2 linked regions of the Caenorhabditis elegans genome follow. The protein of the gene in region 1 interacts with the protein of each later gene in a pairwise test. Each region holds a gene or a part of one and is shown on either strand. Other genes may lie near its edges.

Region 1 (3,436 bases):
AGTCTACTGGTATTGTGAAACTAGTTGATTTTCCTCACACACAACACAAACACGTCAGTCAGTTACAGTACTCATCTCAATTTTTGTGAGATGGAAAGTATAAAGTAATAAACCTTAAACGAAATATTCAGTTGTTTTCAAATATAAAAATGAGCGCTTTAAATATTGGAAACATTAATTTTTATTGTTTTTTCACAAGATTTTTGCACGCCTTCTTAAAGGCACACGAATTTATTCAAATGGGTCTCGGTGCGCAAAAGTTTATGGAAGTCTTTTTTGAATACTTGAGGCTGCCTCTTCGTTTTTTTTCTTGCATTTCTCAATTAGTTTATTTCATTTTAAGAAAATTTTCACAGAAAAATGAAGGGTATATTCATTGAGAAATGAGAGCCTCAAAAATAAAAACTACCATAAACTTTTCTTGCGCCGAGACCCATCTGAATAAATCCGTGCGTCTTTAAAAAAGCTCGAGAATCTTGAGAAATGATGGTACCGTAAGCTGGTTCTATGAACTTTTTAATACCGCAGAGGCACCGTAAAACTTGAAACAATTGTATGCTGATTACGAGAAATTTCATTTTATGAGTCCACATAACGAGGGCTATGCAATTGAGAACGAAACATTGGTAAAATTCAAGATAACAATAATATACAGACTAGATACAAATGTGGGAATGTGGGGGTGAGTTTTGAAAGCCTGTGAATACAACATTTTGGGGTCGGACTCGAGAAGAAAAAGAACGACAAAAATGGGGAAAATTATTGATGATGTCCTTGGGACTGCACCAGGTTATTGGACTTGATTATATAATCCATAAGTAAAAAATAGAAAGTACATGTTAGTCAAGATCAGAAATTTCGACGAGAGAAACTAGTGATGATGGGAGGAGAGCTGCTGAATCCGCTGGAATTGGCTTTCGAAATATTGTGCCAATTGAGCCGTAGAATTGTATCCAGATACGTCCAAACGGGTGGCACGAGCAAACGCACGAACGAGATCTGATTGACGGATTGGTAGACTCTGATTGAGATCCATGCTTCGATCTGTCGACCCCTGAGGCACGAAGAGTGAATGATTGTGTGCGGCAGCATTCCTTGCTGGTGATTTGGATGAAGTATTAGCGTGAGCTCCACTTGCTAGCTTCGCGGCATTCCCATCGACAATTTTGTGGATGAACTGGCATCTGGTTCCGTATTTGCAGTTTCCAGTCATCGAGAACTTGTCGCAAAGAACCGTCTTGTACTTGGGATGATTTCTCCCACGAGGCTGAAAATTCCAGTCATAAAATAAGAAATTTGTAGGATCAACGATTACTTACGTTCATTGGAAGCCGAAGCTCATGGACGCCGTGAGCAAATCTGCACTGATCACCGTATGAGCATGCCTGACTGCGTTTGTAAGCATCACACAGAGCCGTCTTGAATGCATCTTCCTTTCTCCTTTGACGCATCATTTCTTCACGAAGGTCATCGGGAACTGTGCAAGGATCACGATTGGCCAACGATTGTTCAGAAGTTGGCTGTGAAGCCGAATTCTGCGTCTCCTTATCTTGTTTCATGAACGGTTGGAAGTCTTGAGAAAATACATTCTCTTGATCATATGCTTCGGGGGATGCTGACTGATGTGAAAGCGATCGAGTAAAATCGCTGTGGGAGTCAAGGATTTCCTTTTTGAACACCATGATTGCTTCACCGCTCAGGAAATCGTTGTCAGCCATTTTGAATCTAGAAAAATAAATTTACAAACTGTGATGATGATGGAAAAAGAAGAGAATATAAATCAAGAAAACTTGGGAGCACCGGCAGAAAAGAAAATAAAAAGGAAAAAAATCCTTGAAATGGAACATCTGAATGAAATGAACAAAGAGTGAGCGAAAAAATTTACTTATCAAAAATTCGCGGAAACTAAAAAGTAAAAATTAAAAAATACCGCTCGAAATCATGATCAAATTTTGAGAAATTTTGAAAAAAAAAACTTGAATTTTCGCAATAGAGCGTGTTCGCATCGCCGTGTTGGATTTCATGGTAGCACAGAAACTAGATGGCTTGGTTTATGATACTCAGTCTGAAAACCTATATTGGCTGCTATCTCGAAAACTAACCCCAAATTTGAATTTGCGATGCATATGAAAAATGGCCGCAAGAAAATTCTCTATCTTTTCTATTGAAAATTTTTTTGATTGAAAATTTCCTAACCGGTCAAATTTGGGTTTGTTCGGTAGAGCGCATTTGCACTCATCTAGCTGCTGTACCACCGTGATTTTCCATTTCTACATTTTCCACGTTCTGTGTTTGTCCTCATTTTAAAAGTTAATTTTCTTTGATTCAGTTTCAAAATGGTATTTGGGGAGAATCAGGATCTCATTCGCACTCATTTTCAAAAAGAAGCCGACAAAGTTCGAGCAATGAAAACCAATTGGGGACTTTTCACGAGGTATATTTACTATCTATCTTCCATATTACGTAGTAATTTTTCAGAACAAGAATGATTGCTCAAAGTGATTACGACTTTATCGTGACTTATCAACAAGCAGAAAACGAGGCAGAACGGAGCACAGTACTCTCGGTTTTCAAGGAAAAGGCTGTGTACGCTTTTGTTCATCTGATGTCTCAGGTGAAATCATATTTCATAAGCCTATTTCGAAATTATTAGTTTCTTTTTTTCAGATTTCGAAAGATGATTACGTCAGGTACACTCTAACGCTGATCGATGATATGCTCCGCGAAGACGTCACAAGAACAATTATTTTTGAAGACGTTGCAGTTCTTCTGAAAAGATCTCCCTTTTCTTTTTTCATGGGTCTTCTCCATCGTCAAGATCAATACATTGTACATATTACATTCTCGATTCTCACAAAAATGGCTGTTTTTGGAAATATAAAGTTGGATACGCTTGAGATACATTAATTAATTCTAACTATTTCAGATTATCTGGAGACGAACTTGACTATTGCATGGGATCTTTGAAAGAGGCGATGAATAGAGGAACAAACAACGACTACATTGTTACAGCAGTTAGATGCATGCAAACTTTATTCAGATTCGATCCATATCGAGTTTCATTTGTCAACATCAATGGCTACGACTCACTGACTCATGCTCTATATTCGACTCGAAAATGCGGGTTTCAAATTCAGTACCAAATAATTTTCTGCATGTGGCTTCTCACTTTCAACGGACATGCTGCAGAAGTGGCTTTGTCTGGGAATCTTATTCAAACGATATCTGGAATTCTGGGCAATTGTCAAAAGGAAAAAGTAATCAGAATTGTAGTATCCACACTGCGGAACCTTATCACTTCAAATCAGGATGTTTACATGAAAAAGCAAGCTGCTCTTCAAATGATTCAAAATCGTATTCCGACTAAACTGGATCATCTGGAGAATCGAAAATTTACTGATGTGGACCTTGTGGTAATTTATTAGTGAAAGACTTC
Region 2 (7,809 bases), on another chromosome or scaffold:
TTCGAGATATGTCGAAATTAAAAAATATGTATGATAAATTGTAAATTTCAGTAATTTTCCTTTAAATTTCAAGTTTTTCTCATAAAATAAATAAATTTAACTTTACCTCTTAAAATTGGAATTTCACCTTTTTCTCTCAAAAACGAGGTTTTGAAAAAATCAATTTTTTGCATGTGAAAAAAAACATATTTTTTTGAAGTTCAAAAGAAAATTACAATTTTTCTTTTATTGTTCAAAAAAAATTTTCTTTTTATAGATTTCTGACGGACAAAATCCAATTTTATTTAAAAATTTTTGAATTTCAAATGAAAATTATAATTTTTATAGAGAAAACTACGATTTTACTCTTTTTTATTTTCAAAAACGGATAGGTTCAAGATTTCGGAAAAATAATTTTTTAATGTGAAATTTTTTAAACATTCTGAGTTTTAGAAACGTTATTTTTTATTTAAAAAATTGATAAGAAGCCGTCAGGTTCCGAGTGGAAAACACGAAAACTTGTTTTTTTTTTAAATTTTTTAGCGGAAAATCAAATTTTCTTTCAAAAATTTAGAACTTTGAAGGAAAATTGCAATTTTTAGTTTTATTTCAAAAATTTATAAAATTCCTTCAAAAATATATACCCATTGGTTGGGGATTCCTCGCGTTTCTCCAATCCCATCGACGACCATGCGGACAGGGCATCGTACTTGCGGCTGAGAATTTCTGAAAAATCCTTATTTGTCATTTAAAATTCTTATTAAAATTCGCAAAAAAAGCTTACCGTTCTCCATAATATCATTAAGCGAGTTGTTGGTTCCCCAGTAGTCGTAGGTTGGCAGATCTTGTTTCGCCGATTGTCCTCCTCCCAACGATGGACGAGAAGACAGTCCAGTACCGGAAAGAGATTCCGGAGTCAACGAACTACGCATCGATGGGAAACTGCGGAGCAACGCGTCCAATCCCAACGAGCTCTCCATTCCGAATGGCGACGACGACATCTCCTTCTGATTGAACGGATTACTGTTGCCGAATGCTCTTCGATAGAACATCGATTGTTGCTGAGCCTCCTGCATTTGTTGTTGAGCCTGTTGCTGCTTCTGCACCATCAACGAGACACCGGCCAACTGTCCGGCAAAGTCATTGTCGGTTTCTGGAAGATTTCCGGTTCGCTGGAAGATGTGCGTCTCGATCTCCTTGCGGGCAGCCTCGACGTTATGTGGGAGGCCGGTCACCTGGAATAGAAATAGTTATATTTTTGTAGTTCTCGCAAAAAACTTATTTTATTACGGAAACACAAAATTCCAGAAATGTGTATTGCGCAACATATTTGACGCACTAAATATCTAGTAGCGAAAACTACAGTAATTCTTTCACTGATTACTGTAGCTCTGGATTTACGCGCTCGATTTTCGAATGAATTTCTTTTCGTTTCTTCATATTATTTTCTCATTTTCTTCTTAAAAATATTTTTCCATCGATAAATTTTTTAAATTCATTTCTTAGAGCACGTAACTCGAATTTCTTTTTGTTTCTTCATATTATTTTCTCATTTTCTGCTTAAAATTATTTTTCCATCGATAAATTATTTAAATTCATTTCGTAGAGCACGTAACTCAAAACAAGCGCTACAGTAGTCAATTTTATGAATTACTGTAGTTTTTGCTACAAGAGATTATGCGCGTCAAATATGTTGTGCAGTACACATTTTCAGAATTTTTTGTTTTCATTATAGGAAATATGCTTCCGAATTTTTGTGAATTTAAATAGTTTATGTTTTTTTTTTAATTTTTCAATAAATGTTATTTCCAATATTTTTCCCCAATTTTGTACGTTTTTCTCGGACTCCTTCGCGGAACTGTGTCATTGAGGCATAGATCACAATCTCTGATTATCGAGATGGATATCAAAACGACACGCGACCTCTGTCACTGTCTTGTGAGAACTTTTTCGGTGAGAAAATTAGAAGTTTTTGAACCAAAAATTGATTTTATAAGTATGGAAAATGCTCAATTTATCTGAAAATAAAACCTTTGAAAATTCAACAAAGATCTCAAGTGCACTATTTGAGGTATTTTTGAAATGTTCAAAACGAAACAATTCTATTACCAAACTAGTCGGACATTTTTCTATATTTCCATACCAATTATTCATTTGAGCCACGAACAAAAACGACAATTGGTCTTTTTAGAACGCATATAATATCCGAGGTGAAGCTTCTGTACCTTTCCCTCATATTCTCCCAAACATCATGTAATTCCTTCCCCGCCTGGCAAATCCATCACCTCCTTGTCTCGTCCAGGGTACCGGAGGCATTTGTGTCAAACGGACAACTAAATTGGGAGGAATAACGATGAGCGCACCGCACCGGGGCAAGATGTCATGTACTAGTGGGCCCGCACTGTCAACACATTCACAGTTCGTCCGGCGACCCAGAGTAGTGGGGGATGATAATTACCATTGTGAGGAAGGAGGAAAAAGGCCATGCGGATACGGTAATTTATGTCGCCACACACACACACACACACGCATCTATAGACACATACGGTCAAAACCGTCAATTACATAACCCTAATATGATCTGATTACTGTTCAAAAGTTCGGAAGCCTTCCTATAGAAACAACAACGACCTTTGTTCGTCATTTTGAAGTACCCCTGGTGCTGCCACAAAATGTTGCTCTCCCTGAGCCAACGGTGCAATAAAACCAAGCATATGTGCAATTTGGCGCCCGCCCCGGTCATTTAATTAATTGAGTCTCTTTGTCATCGCGATCCCCCCCCTTTTCTTCACCCTACTACCCTGTTAGATGGAATGAAAGAGTTGGTGCGTGTGTATGTGGACTCCCCATCGCGTGACTCTTGGCTCCAAAAACCCGGGCGGCCCCATCCATCGGTAATTCGACTAATCTACTGTGTGCTGGATGTTTCTCAAGGCGTCATTGAGCATCAAACTGAGATATCTCATCAACAATGATATTTTGCTGCCAAGAAGAAGAAGACGACATGCAACATTAATCGGTCCCGCGGGGGGAATTCTACCAAATTAAAAGATTCTAATCATCATCTCTCAGTGAAGACCCTAAACGGCTCCCGAGGAATTTTTAGCATTTCGGATGGAAGGAAACCGTTTAAAATTCACACCAAGAGGTCACAAGCCCTTCCGCTGCTCGTTTCGGCGCCCATGGTTGCTCTTTATTCTCTTTAGAATATCAATTCCGCACAAGTTTGATTGTTTTTGTTTGTTTGCCACAGCAGTGGCAGCCAATTCACAACTGTACGACCTCGAAAATCGCTCGAAACTCGGTGTCAGGAAGAAAACAAGAGACGGCCGAAAAGAATTGGGTATATCACACCAGACACTTACAAACACACATGTGTTTTCTGTCTCTGTCTAGGCATTAGGCTCCCCTTCTTGCAGTGACGAGGAAAAACAAATAATCGGAATGAAAGATTGACAATGGTAATGGGGACCTTAAAAATAGAAATTTGTAATGAACAACTTCTATGTAAAACTCGAGAGAAGTGTGTCGCAGAAATCAAATCCTGATGAGGTTTTCTAGAATCACGGTTATCGCTGAGACTTTCAGAATGATATATTTACAAACTTTGCTACAAAACAGCCGATTTTCTTATGAATTCTCCCCATTTTACAATTTTTCTAGATTACTTATATGTAAAAATCGAGGAAAATTGGAGTTGAAATCGGTTTTTATACAGAAATATTTCAGAAACCCCGCCGATTTTTAAATTTTGTTAATTTTCAGCAAAGCAACAAAAATTGGACCAATATTATGAAATAATAGCATGGTCTAATTATCTAACTTTTCTTAGTCATAAACTTGAATTTTTCAGTCAAAAGTAGATTTTCAGCACGATATATGCCATGGAAAAGCCGATTTTCAGTATTTTCTAAGCCGAAACTAGAAACTTCTCTGTTTTTGTTAAAAAGCATGAAATTGCTGAGAATTTTGCTCCAAAACTCTATGCTCTCCAACAAAATTACCTCAAAAACGGGCTCCCTTTCTCGGCTCGGCGTAATGATGTACGTGTGGGTGTCCTGTTGAATTCGCTTGATAGTCGCTCCTTTCGGTCCGACGACGAGTCCGACAACTCTTAACGGAACTCTGACATAGCTCGTGATCTGTCCAGGTGCATGGGCTCCTGGAACAACTGAACAAGGCGCTCAGGAACCGGCTGCCTACGGTCACCTACCTTGTGTATGTCTTCTCGACGCACGGATCTGTGTGAAGTGCTCGGCGGCGCAGTCGATCTCTCGTTTCGCCTCGTTCACGTCCTCCAGGCGTCCGGTGACCACGAAAATTGGATCTTCTCCGCGAACCGGTGTCTTGATGTAGGTGTTGGTCTTGGCGCGCAGTGCCTTAATTTTGCAGCCTGAAAATTTGTGGAAACTGTAGATTTGACTAAAAAGGCAATTTTTACCTTGACGACCAACAATCTCGGCGACATGCTCCGACGTCGGAACTTCCACGGACTCTGTGACATTTTGCACGCCTATCGACGTTCTGTAGTTGAGAAACTGCGCAATATCCTCCGGATCGCTGACTGGAGAGCACGAGGCAGTGTCCTCCTCGTAATACCAAGCCCCTGGCAATTTATAGGCGATTTGTTCTTCCTTCATTCTGAAAAATGGTTATGTTTGGGCGAAAATCGATTCAAAAATCGAAAAATAGAGGTTTTTCGGAATTTTTAAGGATATTTTCGATGAAAACCGCAGGTACCCATGTAGGAAGGGCAAATGGAGAAAAAGCGACAAAACGAGGCGCATATGATGAGAAAGACAGACGGGCAGCGGTACGCGCGCACAAATGGCAAAGCAGTACACGGACAAAGAGTGGGGCGGGTGGGTGACGACAGGCAACACCAACTGGTGTGTGTGTGTGAACGCGACAAAAATCCGAAAAATCCCGCCAAAAGAACCACCAAAAATTGAAAATTTTCGGCGCCGAAAAAATGAAAGAAAAAACAGAGAGAGTACGGTATCACTCATTTAACGTGTGTGAGATAGTGTGTAATTTTGGGCCGCCGTGTTCACGTACAATACGCGGAGGCGGGGCTTGGATATCGTAGTATTAAGTGGGAAATTAAATACAGTTTTTTTTTGTGTTTTTTCCAAGAAAAATGAAAAATCGAAAAAATTGTGTTTTCAGATATGAAAAATTGAAAATTTTTGTATATTTCAAAAAAATCGATTTTTCGAATGAATTACTTGAAATTTTGGTCATTTTTTAAGCAGTATAAACGAACAAATTTCGATTATTTTTGCAAAAAAAAACCGAAACTTTTTCCACAGCACCTTTGAAATTGACTCTGTTGAAAAAGGAAAAAAAATAGCGCATTTTTTCAAGTAATCTAGAAAAGAGGTTGCGATCAAGAACAAGGGTAATAAAAAGGAGGCAGGCGTGTAACAAAAAATTCGATCCTTTGAATTTTTGAGGAGGAAATCTTTTTTTAAAAAAGGAGAAAAAAATTTGGATTTTTAACTTTCTCACGAAAATTGAAGGGTGAGGCAAAAACTTAATTGCGGTTCGAGGTTGTTTCCAAGAAGACTTTTCCCCTCTTTTCCCTCTTTTCTCTCCCTATTCTCTTCTGTATGTTAAATATCCGACCCACTTAAAAAAAAGGAAGGCGAAATTTCGAGATATTCTGTTTGAATGGCAACACGTTTGCCGATTTTATACCAGTCATCCTTGAACATTCCGTCTATTCTCGCAAGGCCATTTGAGGCTTTTTTAGAAGCGGATTTTTAGAGATTTGGAGGATTTTCAGTGGGAACATTAATCAAAAAGTTCAAAAATCATCCGAAAATCACGAATTTTGAAAAGAAAATTGGATTTTTTTTCGTGTTTCTTAGACTGTTAGCTTATTTGCCGAAAACTCACGGTTTCCAAAATTCGGCGTCGTTCCACGTGTTATGCCCGTTTGAGAAGCCTTCTGGAAAAATTAAAAATTTCAAAAAAAAACTTCAAAAAAATTGCTCACCATTTCTCATAGAAAAAGGTCTAACGCTCACGACTGGCATTTTACCTGAAAATCTGCGATGTTTTGGGGTTAATAATTATGTGGTTGAAAAAAAAATTGATAAGCGGAGAAATTTGTCACCAAAAAAATATGGAATTAAAAAATTGCAATGGAAATCAGAGAGACAAAAATATACTACGGGTACACAAAATTATAAGAATGCGTATTGCGCAACATATTTGACGCACAAAATATCTCGTAGCGAAAAAACAGTAATTCTTTAAATGACTACTGTAGCGCTTGTGTCGATTTACGGGCTCGATTTACGAAATGAATTTTTTTGAATTGTCGTGTTTTCTTTTAATATTTTATCTGTTAATAAATAATTTAATTAAATCGGCATCAGTGCTACAAAAGTCATTTAAAGAGTTACTATAGTTTTCGCTACTAGATATTTTGCACGTCAAATATGTTGTGCAATACGCGTTTTGGGAAATTTGTATTCCTGTAATACAAAAACGACAAAAACGATCCGTCATAATCAGCGACCAAAGAAAAAAAGAAAAGACAGTGGGCTCCCAAAAGGGGGCGGGGACAGTTAGAGGTTCAGAGAAACCGATGGTGGGGGGCGGGTCTCTTTTGTTGTTGTCGTGCAACATTTTTCGTCCAGGGGAAGAAGAGTGAATAAGGAAGAAGAAATGCAAATTAAGGTGGTAGAAGGATGAGGATACGGTACTTTGGGACAGAAGAAACGAGAAAACAATGGAATTTAAAATGAGATTTTAGAAATGTGTAGATGTAAATGACATATTGAAACTGGTCATCTCGTTTTTTTTTGGCAACACTAGTTTCACTTTTAGGCCAATATTCAAGGGGCTACAGTACCCTTAAAGGTACATACTACTTCTCCCATAAAAAGCGGCGGAACGTCGAAAACAGGAGAGCGGTTGTTTTTTTGGAAATCCGATCTTCCGTATATTCCACGCCGAATCTGTTGGTGTCAACATTACAACAAAAACAATTTGTTTGCGTTTTATACGTTTTTTTTTTCGGTTTTTTTAGAGGCCCACCACGATTTACACAAAATTATGCACTCATAGTGCATCGACGAAAAGCAGTTTTTGAAGGGTTGTCGGTTTAAAATGTAATTTCCAAATAAGCAAGGTGCAGAGTGTCCAATAACTAGAAAATCTCGAAACTGTTTTTTTCCCGAAAAATCGCTAAATTTCATTTTAAAATTATCATGTTGAATCGATGAGAGCAGAATGTCGTGGAATTTCAAAATTTGGTTACAGAATGCGCCGTTATAAAGACAGATATTGGTCCTCTCATGGAAAAATCAAAAAAAAGTAATTTGAAAAAAATACCATCATGGTGCATCGAGAACAACTGAAATGAGAGTATTCGGCGGAAATTCCAAAGTTTCCAAAGAAGATTAAAGGTGCATGTAGGTCTCAAAAAACTTTTCCGAGAAGCAATTTTGAAATTTACTTCGAAAACGTTATAGTGCGTCGAGAATGAAACTATTTGGGTCTCGGAGTGATTTTTTTTCTGAAAATCGATAAAAACGTCATGGTGCATCGCAAAAATCGCTACCATTCTTACTCTAAAGTTATCGCCAAACAGCATTATGGTGCATCGAGAAGTTCGAAAATTCTGAAGACGTTAGAGTGAAGGGACACAAAATGAAAGACATTTGCATGTCCCACAATACGGTTAAAAAAATAAATATTAAAATTCAGCTTGAAATTTTCCACCATTAATTTTTCGAAAAGGCTCAAAATGTAACCCAAAATTATCATGGTGCATCGACAAGAACGGAACATCATGGTAAGCAGGCGCGGTTTCAG

The links.
Region 2: the proteins of pos-1 (region 1) and mex-3 interact in a two-hybrid assay, tested with the Caenorhabditis elegans proteins (2 studies listed by BioGRID).

Annotation. Positions count from the first base shown.
Region 1 is NC_003283.11:8,412,376-8,415,811, reverse strand, and holds pos-1 (RNA-binding protein pos-1), read right to left. Parts: upstream 1,728-3,436; 5' UTR 1,719-1,727; coding exon 1,320-1,718; intron 1,268-1,319; coding exon 872-1,267; 3' UTR 558-871; downstream 1-557. Other genes in the region: vha-18 (putative V-type proton ATPase subunit H 1), read left to right, coding at 2,337-2,434, 2,479-2,614, 2,668-2,882, 2,927-3,413. UniProt on the Caenorhabditis elegans protein: RNA-binding protein that coordinates cell fate specification and differentiation during early embryogenesis.
Region 2 is NC_003279.8:125,508-133,316, reverse strand, and holds the start of mex-3 (K Homology domain-containing protein), read right to left. Parts: upstream 6,033-7,809; 5' UTR 6,021-6,032; coding exon 5,981-6,020; intron 5,933-5,980; coding exon 5,881-5,932; intron 4,621-5,880; coding exon 4,421-4,620; intron 4,373-4,420; coding exon 4,193-4,372; intron 4,151-4,192; coding exon of another isoform or gene 4,142-4,150; coding exon 3,984-4,141; intron 1,215-3,983; coding exon 764-1,214; intron 706-763; coding exon 624-705; intron 1-623.